2 linked regions of the Saccharomyces cerevisiae S288C genome follow. The protein of the gene in region 2 purifies or fractionates together with the protein of the main gene of each other region. This does not show direct contact. Each region holds a gene or a part of one and is shown on either strand. Other genes may lie near its edges.

What was found.
Region 1: the proteins of PUT7 (region 2) and FMP32 purify together in Saccharomyces cerevisiae (affinity purification with mass spectrometry; 2 studies listed by BioGRID). This does not show direct contact.

Annotation. Positions count from the first base shown.
Region 1 is NC_001138.5:40,620-44,990, forward strand, and holds FMP32 (Fmp32p), read left to right. Parts: upstream 1-2,195; coding exon 2,196-2,819; downstream 2,820-4,371. Other genes in the region: GTPase-activating protein RGD2, read left to right, coding at 1-1,946; phosphomannomutase SEC53, read right to left, coding at 3,009-3,773; ubiquitin-specific protease OTU1, read right to left, coding at 4,036-4,371.
Region 2 is NC_001144.5:702,523-707,085, forward strand, and holds PUT7 (Put7p), read left to right. Parts: upstream 1-2,663; coding exon 2,664-3,608; downstream 3,609-4,563. Other genes in the region: YLR278C (uncharacterized protein), read right to left, coding at 1-1,502; RSO55 (Rso55p), read right to left, coding at 1,971-2,438; ECI1 (dodecenoyl-CoA isomerase), read right to left, coding at 3,676-4,518.

The sequences.
Region 1 (4,371 bases), on a different chromosome or scaffold from region 2:
AAGATGAAGATGAAGGGGTGACAGTTTCGAGGGCCCTGAGGGGAATTCTACAGGAAATGTCTCAGGAAGGGACGCATCACTTGACAATAGCGTCGAACATAGAAAGTTTGGTGCTGCAGCCATTCAGTAAATGGTGCATAGAACATAGGGAGAGAATTCAATACTCCGAGAAGACTTTGTTGACCAATGTAAATAATTTCAGGAAGTCTAAAAAGTACGTCGGTAAGCTGGAGAAGGAATATTTTAATAAATGTAGGCAGCTAGAAGAATTTAAAAGAACTCATTTCAACGAAGATGAGCTAGCAAATGCAATGAAATCATTGAAAATACAAAATAAATACGAAGAAGATGTGGCCAGGGAAAAGGATCACAGATTTTTCAACAGGATAGCGGGAATAGATTTTGATTATAAGACAATGAAGGAGACGCTTCAGCTGTTACTGACCAAGCTTCCTAAAACGGACTATAAGCTACCTCTCATTAGTTATTCTTTGAGCAACACCAACAATGGTGGAGAAATAACGAAGTTTCTGCTTGACCACATGTCGTTAAAGGATATTGATCAAGCTGAAACGTTTGGCCAAGATTTGTTGAATTTAGGGTTTTTGAAATATTGCAACGGTGTTGGTAATACATTTGTCAACTCTAAAAAATTTCAATACCAATGGAAGAATACCGCGTACATGTTTGCCAATGTGCCAATGCCCGGTTCAGAGGAGCCTACCACTGGTGAATCCTTAATATCCCGGTTCAACAACTGGGATGGTTCATCTGCAAAGGAAATTATTCAATCCAAGATTGGTAACGACCAGGGGGCAGCGAAGATCCAAGCTCCGCATATATCCGATAATGAAAGGACGCTTTTCAGAATGATGGATGCGCTTGCAGCGTCAGATAAGAAGTATTACCAGGAGTGCTTCAAGATGGATGCCTTGAGATGCTCGGTTGAGGAGTTGTTGATTGACCATTTGTCGTTTATGGAAAAATGTGAGTCCGATAGACTGAATGCGATCAAGAAAGCGACACTAGATTTTTGTTCTACCTTGGGTAACAAGATTTCTTCGTTAAGACTGTGCATAGATAAAATGCTCACGCTAGAAAACGATATTGATCCCACTGCAGACCTTTTGCAACTTTTAGTTAAGTACAAGACGGGCAGTTTCAAGCCGCAAGCCATTGTTTATAATAATTACTACAATCCTGGTTCATTTCAAAACTTTGGTGTTGATCTAGAAACTCGTTGTAGACTAGACAAGAAAGTCGTTCCGTTGATAATTTCTTCGATATTCTCATATATGGACAAAATATATCCTGACTTACCTAATGATAAAGTAAGAACTTCAATTTGGACTGATTCGGTGAAATTAAGTTTAACACATCAGCTTCGAAACCTATTGAACAAACAACAGTTCCACAACGAAGGGGAAATATTTGATATACTTTCTACGTCCAAGTTGGAGCCAAGCACCATCGCCAGTGTTGTTAAAATTTATTTATTAGAATTACCAGACCCACTAATTCCCAATGATGTCTCTGATATTCTTCGGGTGCTTTACCTTGACTATCCACCTTTAGTTGAAACTGCGTTGCAAAATTCTACATCATCTCCCGAGAATCAGCAGGACGATGACAACGAAGAAGGCTTTGATACCAAGAGAATAAGAGGCCTTTATACTACTCTGTCCTCTCTAAGCAAACCACACATAGCGACACTAGACGCTATTACAACTCATTTTTACAGATTAATTAAAATTCTGAAAATGGGAGAGAACGGTAATGAAGTAGCAGATGAGTTTACCGTCTCAATTTCACAAGAATTTGCCAATTGTATTATCCAGTCAAAGATCACCGATGATAATGAAATTGGTTTTAAGATTTTCTATGATCTACTGACACATAAGAAACAGATTTTTCACGAATTGAAAAGGCAAAATTCAAAAAATTAGGACTAGGCGATATAGATTTGTATATAATTTTATATAAAAGGAAATATGTACATCATTTTCTTTCACTGTAGGCAGCTGTTTCAAGTTCTTTTTTTATTGGAGATATAATTATTTACATTATTGTTATAGAGGACACACGAAAAAGCAAGAAGGGAACTATAAGAAAAATAAAAAATAATGAAGAATACAGATCTGTAATTAGTCATTTCAAGTGAGCGTAATAAGTAAAGTAAGGTAGAACGGAATAAAATGCTCAAGCGTATTGTTGGATTGCCTGCAAGGCGTTGCTTTCATAGAACGTCCTTTTTGCTGGGCAGTGACTTTGAAACTGTGCATATTCCCAATACGAACCACTTTAAAGATTTACTTATAGAGAACGGTAAATTTCAAGAGGATCAAGCAACTACAATAGTAGAGATAATGACAGATGCAATTAGGGGCGGGGTTAATCATGTTTCACAGGATCTGGCAAAGAGAGAAAAATTGACCCAACTTAGCTATCAACAACGTGTTGATTTTGCAAAGTTAAGAGATCAGCTATTGAGTGCTGATAGAAGTGAATTTCACAATATTCAAAACGAGTACGAAAGTGTGAAAAACGATCTGGAGAAACTAAGAAACAAACTAAGGGAAGAAATTACCAAAACAAACGCCGGTTTCAAACTTGATCTGTCCTTAGAAAAAGGCAGAATTAGGGAAGAAAGTAGTCATCACGATCTGCAAATAAAAGAAATCGACACCAAAATTGAGCAAGAAGTGACCAATATGAAGATGCAGATTGATTCTGTCAAGACTCAAGTCATGCAATGGCTGATAGGTGTCTGTACAGGTACATTTGCACTTGTATTAGCATATATGAGGTTATTAACATAGTGGCGACAAGCGAGGAAAAAGGGCTAGACTTGGTACTTGAAAATTGCATTTACGTTTTGTATAACACAGTTCAGTAAGAGTACACATTCAATAACGTAGTAAGAGTATATTTATTTATATAAGAAGGATAAAAAAGAATCACCAAACGGATCACAAATGGCATAATCACGTAGCAACCTGGAAATAAAGCTATAAGTTGAATAGTTCAGTCAAAATTTTGACGGTGTCATCAGGGGATTGTACTGAATGTCCGATGGTTCTTTCATCGACAAAAATTTCGTAATCGTTACCACCGACCATAGTCTTGTCACCAAAGAAATGAATTTCCTTGAAACCATCTTTTTCAACGTGTTGCAAACAGTAGGTCTTATCCCAACCAGCGGGGAAAACGTCGAAAGAGATTTGGCCACCAATGGAGAAAGTCAAACCGTAGTCTGGGAATTCCTTTTTCAAAGCTTCAACGAACTTGGCTCTGATTTGGTGTTCCTTATCGTATCTTTCGAATTCGTTTCTTTCCTCAGTAGAAGCATTTCTACCAATTGGGGAAACGTTGATCATACCATTTCTAAATTCCAAGAAAGTACCTCTTCTCTTTGGCAAGTCAATTTCAGATAGATATCTCAAAATGAAGACGGCCAATTTATTGTATTTTTCCTCACCGAGCCAGTTGATGAAGGATTGAGAAGCTAATTCCTTACCTAATCTGTAGGCGGTCAAACCATTTTCAGAGAAAGAATAGTCAAATTCATCTAAAACGTTTGGGCCTAACTGTTCTAATTGCTTGCTTAAGTCAGAACCACCGACAAAACCAATGCAGCACTTGTTTCTCAACTTGGCCAAAGTTTTTCTAACTTCTTCAGAAACAGTTAATCTGGCTGGTGTCAAGGTACCATCAACATCGAATAAAACCAAAGTTTCTGGTTTTTCCTTGTAAGCGAATTCAGCGATACTCATTATTGGTGGTTATATTAGCAGATAGGTAAAAAAGGAGAAAGAAGTACTAAGGAAATTGTCGATTTAGTTTTCGTCAAAGATCTTATACTTTGCCAAGAAGAATAGACGATATAAACAGAAAAATAAGTGAAAAGAACACGTAAAAAACGGCACATTTTAATATATTTCAAATTTTTTTTTCATCAACGACAAAAGGAATGCATTTTATCCACTTTTCGTGTCTCATGACGAGTATACCGATAAACGCCAAATGCGTATTTTATTATCTATTTTGGCCAAAATCAACGTGTCCCGTGGATTCAGCGTGCCTAGCAACTTCTCTTTCACCCACAAAGGTCATTTGGCAAGTGTTGCATTTGATCTGGGCCTTATGAGTGTTGAAGGAATAGCCAGTTTGCTTCAAATTTGAGGCCAGTTGCAAAGCTGCTGTTAGAACATCATCTGATTCCGGCTGGTTCTTGTTGAAAACAGTTTTAAACTCGTTCATGGTCAAGGAATCATAGTGGATTCCGTTGAACAGTATCAAAATGTAGTTGTCGAACTTGTCCTCGTTGAACTTTTCGATTTTAACAGCGTCAATGTCGACTACATAAATAGC
Region 2 (4,563 bases):
TTTATTTCCGACTCCTTGATTGTATAAGGTTTCCCCACAGCAACACAAATCATTCTTTCCAACAGGTAAACACACCAAAATAGTCGCAGTTTCTTATTTGCAAATGGATCATTAGGATACCATTGATTTAGATGAAGTTTCTTCTTGGATATGCCCATGACATCCTTGATTATGTCATATAGTATCAGAGAATCTCTATCAGTCCTAATAATGTAAAGGACAAGCAATGTCAACAGTTCTATTTGCTGAACATAATTCAAATGTAGACCACACTTAGTGATGTGACGGATAGCGGTGGAGAAATATCGGTGAGGTGGAAACCCCTTGTACTTACCTGTGGTCATCAGTAAGTAGGCGCTGATGCTGAAGACAAGCCACATTCTGCCGGATAGAAAATGAAATTCTATTTCAGAATACGAATGTGAATTCGACGGTGGTGCTGCGGAAGACGTGGCGGGAGAAGATGGTGGGATAAGAATCTTGTTGTGGAGGTAGTGGTCATAAAAAGTATAGATTTCTTGTTCGTCTAAGATAGGGTACTTGAATTGTAATCTTGTGAAAAAAGTGTCCAAGAAGGAACGTGACAGCTTCTCATTCAGTTCAAAAATAGGGTCATACATCAAAAACTCTTTTTTCAAATTGTATTTGGCAAAAATACACTTAGTGAAGTCCAGCGTCTCTAAAGGGTCATTCAAAAGGCTCGCGGATTGGCAGATAGCATTATTGTTGTTTATGTTGTTCGTACTGGCCGATGTATCGTTAGTGGCCGCATTAACGTTGCTGCCGTTATTGTTTGTGTTCTCCAGGGGTTTGTTGGAAGGAGATGGCAGCGGCAGTATGACCATATTGCTGCTGTTCGGTCTAGAGTAATCAGAAGTGTTGTTACTGAACAAATGAGAAACCTTCTTGTACTGGGATAATTCGTAGTTGTACTGGTTGCATCCCGGCGATAAATCGAGCAAAGTCTCCAAACTTTTTAGTTTTTTCTCCAAGAAAATCGTATACTGATCTTTGTCTTGCCTCATCAGGTTTGGATTGGAATTTGTCGTGACGGACTTTATCGTTTTCCTGAATTCATTCGCGTCGCCAGCATCAACATTACTATTGCTAGTGGAAATGGGTTTTATTATCGTCATGTCATTCAGAGAAGTGGCAGCGCCAGCGCCAGCGCCAATACTGCTATCTTGCAGCTCACGTTTTATTACAGGATGAGGTGTAGGAGGTACAGTGCCAGCTGTAGGGGTGTTGTTGTTGGTGTTACTGTTCGAAGTGGAAGAAGAGTACTTGGAGGGCTGCACGCACTTTATTCCTGCTTTCAAACAGGCGGTACAACTGGGTAATTTATGGTCGCATCGTTGCTTTCTTCTTCTACAAAGAAGACAAGACCTGGAACGGCCCTTTTTGTCTTGCAACAAGACGTCTGTCCTGTTACCGGCCAGCTCCAGTTCTCTCTTCAACTGTTGTATTTTCTCCTGGCTAACATTCTTCCTTGGACGGCCCATTATTATTTACGTGTATTGTTGGTAGTTAGCCCGAAGATTATGAGTACGTGAAATACACTTGTCTTTATGAAAGAGTGGAAAAATGGTGGGGAGTAAGTTATACTATTGACGTGTAAAAAAAAAAAAAAAAAAATGTTAATGGAACGACCGATCTAAAGAACCATATATAATGAATGACTAAAAAAAGCAAAATAGTTAAGAATCCAAGAAAGATACTAAGAAAAGGCGAAAAGAAAAAGAAAAAGTATGTCCGCTAACAAAGATTAGCGTATAAGCACCACACGATGCGATTCAGGTCTCAACGTGCAGTGTGCAGGAGCAGGAACTATTCAATGTATTGTTGTTCCAGGGTTTTTGTTCGCAACCCACGTCTTGACCGACGGTACCCGCAGGTGAAAATTTTAGCAAAGTTACACTTTTTTTTTCATTTTTTTTTTTCTTTTCTCCTCCATCTAATTTCACCTGCGGTTACCGGCGGAATAACTCGCGCACCATTTCTCTGTCTCGGGCCTCGCGTTCCTCTTTTTCGACTCGAGCGGCCTCTTCACGCTGCTCGTACTTCGCGACGCTGCGCCGGCGCTGCGAGCGTTTCTGTTGACGGTGCCACTGTAGAAGCGCCTCCTCTCTGGACGGCATCGTGTCGTACGACGCCGCAAGTTCGCGCGCGAGCTTAAGCCGGGCAAGCTTTCGATTTTGCTCACGTGACCGCGTTTCTTGGCACTCGACAACGATCCCAGTGGGTTCATGCCGTAGTTGTACCTTAGAATTACACTTATTAATCTTTTGGCCACCGGGCCCTCTGCCGCCATGAAGGAATTTCTCAGTGCATTGTGCTTCCATCTCTGGCGTGAACTTTGGTCGCGGTGGTAGCTTGTTCTTTTTAATCAGCAGCACTGCGGCACTGCTGATTGACCTCTTACTCGCTCCCCTCATCATAGTTTACTAGTCTCGGATTCTTCTGCGCTTTTTCCAGGGTCGCATAGCTTGTAGGTTGGTAGCATAGACTTATATATAAACTCATATCCGTTCTAGGAACGTATAGCGCGCTATGGTAGTCCGGGGAAAATGCACAGTTTAGTTAAGTGTATAGTAATTTTATCGATAAAGGAAGAATGGAAGAGGTTTATGTATACATGTAAACTCTGAACATCTAATAGACTAATGATGCGGTTAATACGTACATTGCCGCTTCGATGCTTCAAAACTAGAATACGGCGGCAAGGCTCGTTGTTGTGTTTGCGGTGCTTTAGTTCGTATTCAAAACCACTTTTGCAGAAATCAATGTCATTGAAAAATATCCAGTTATCAGACCTATCCTCATCGCCATTATCCAAGAACAAGGAGAAGCAGGAGAAGCCAGAGAAGGAAAACGAAGGAAAGCACTCCATTGGCCTGTTAGACAGATTTTCAGAGGACTTTATTACTCAGGGCAATGGATTGAAACCTACTACTTCACAAAATCAATTGGATACTATAAAGTTTTATCAAATGCTTCGTGAAAGAGGCAATTTTTCCGATGAACAATGTAAAATTATCATAGCTCTATTGTTGCAACTACTAAATGATCAGTTTTATTCCTGTTACAATGATTTGTTCTTAAGGGATATGGAGCTGAATAAACAATCACATTTGTTCAGCTCGCTAGAAACAGAATTGAAATTCGCAATTCAAAACTCTAGAGACACGCAACTAAATGAGCACCACTTGCAATTATTAAAACTCAAGAGAGAACTTAACTCAATCCATGATGAACTGAATGAAATCATAATAGATCTTTTGCAAAAGGACGCTAAATTAGAATTTAACAATCAAAAATTAGAAAACACCCTTTTGTATCGACAATTAAACCTGAAATTGAACGACTGTTCTAACAAGATTCAAACCAAGATACTGGGGGATATCAGGTCACATATCGAAAATTTAAGATGGCAGACAACCAGAAGCGGTCTTTTGGTAATATTAGTCCTTGTTTGTTCGATTATGATCGGTGTAAGCGCATCTAAGAAGGAACGCCCAGGTTTACAGGAACCTGAGGAACCTGAAATTTTAGCACCAAAGGAAGACATTGATACTACCTTCCCTCAAGATCAACATGATATAGATTAATTAGCATACATATTGTCTGTACATAAGTATATTGTGTGTGCGTTTTGTTTCACTGAGAAAGCGGACGTCATAAACGATGCTTCCTTTGTTTCGAGCCCAGCTGCCTAAATCTTTTTAAGGGCTCTCCATCTACCCAATACTTGAGAGATTCATTTACTTCCACTGAGTTAGCCTTATTGAATGCATCGATGTGGTTCGATTTCAGCAATTTTTTCATCCCTAAGCAACTGGGCAGGTATAGCCCTTTCACTTTCTCCCTCAATTCTTCTAAGACCTTTGCATTGAACGCTTCAGCGTTTGAAGATGGCATGTTAAAATTCTTGCTTATAAATCCGTTCTCGCACATTATATCGTACTTGAATGGTTTGTTGAACATGAGGCATTCATACGTCGTATTTGTGCCAAACTTCAATGGCAAAGAGACCGTTGTACCACCTTCGGTAATTAGTCCTAAGTTAGCAAAGGGGTATAGCAAATAAACCTTGTCATTTATACTGTACACAATGTCACATAACGCTACCAGTGCCGCGCTCAACCCTATTGCTGGTCCATTCAAACAGCAAATTAAAACTTTGGAATGCTTGATGAAGGCATCAGTGACATAAACATTTCTAGCGACAAAATTTGACACCCACTTGCTTGTTTCCGAAGGATATTTATTGGTATCATCCCCTTGGGCTTTTGCAATACCCTTGAAATCAGCACCACTGGAAAAAAATCTACCACTGCTTTGTATAATTGTAAAATATACATCACGATTTCTGTCCGCTAGTTCTAGTAACTCTCCTAAATAAATATAGTCTTCACCTTCTAGTGCATTCAAATTGTCAGGGTTCATTAAGTGAATAATGAAGAATGGTCCTTCAATACGATAACTGATTTTCTCATTTTGCCTAATTTCTTGCGACATATTGTTCTTCCTTCCTTTACTGTGCGAGCAATTTGTGCCATACAC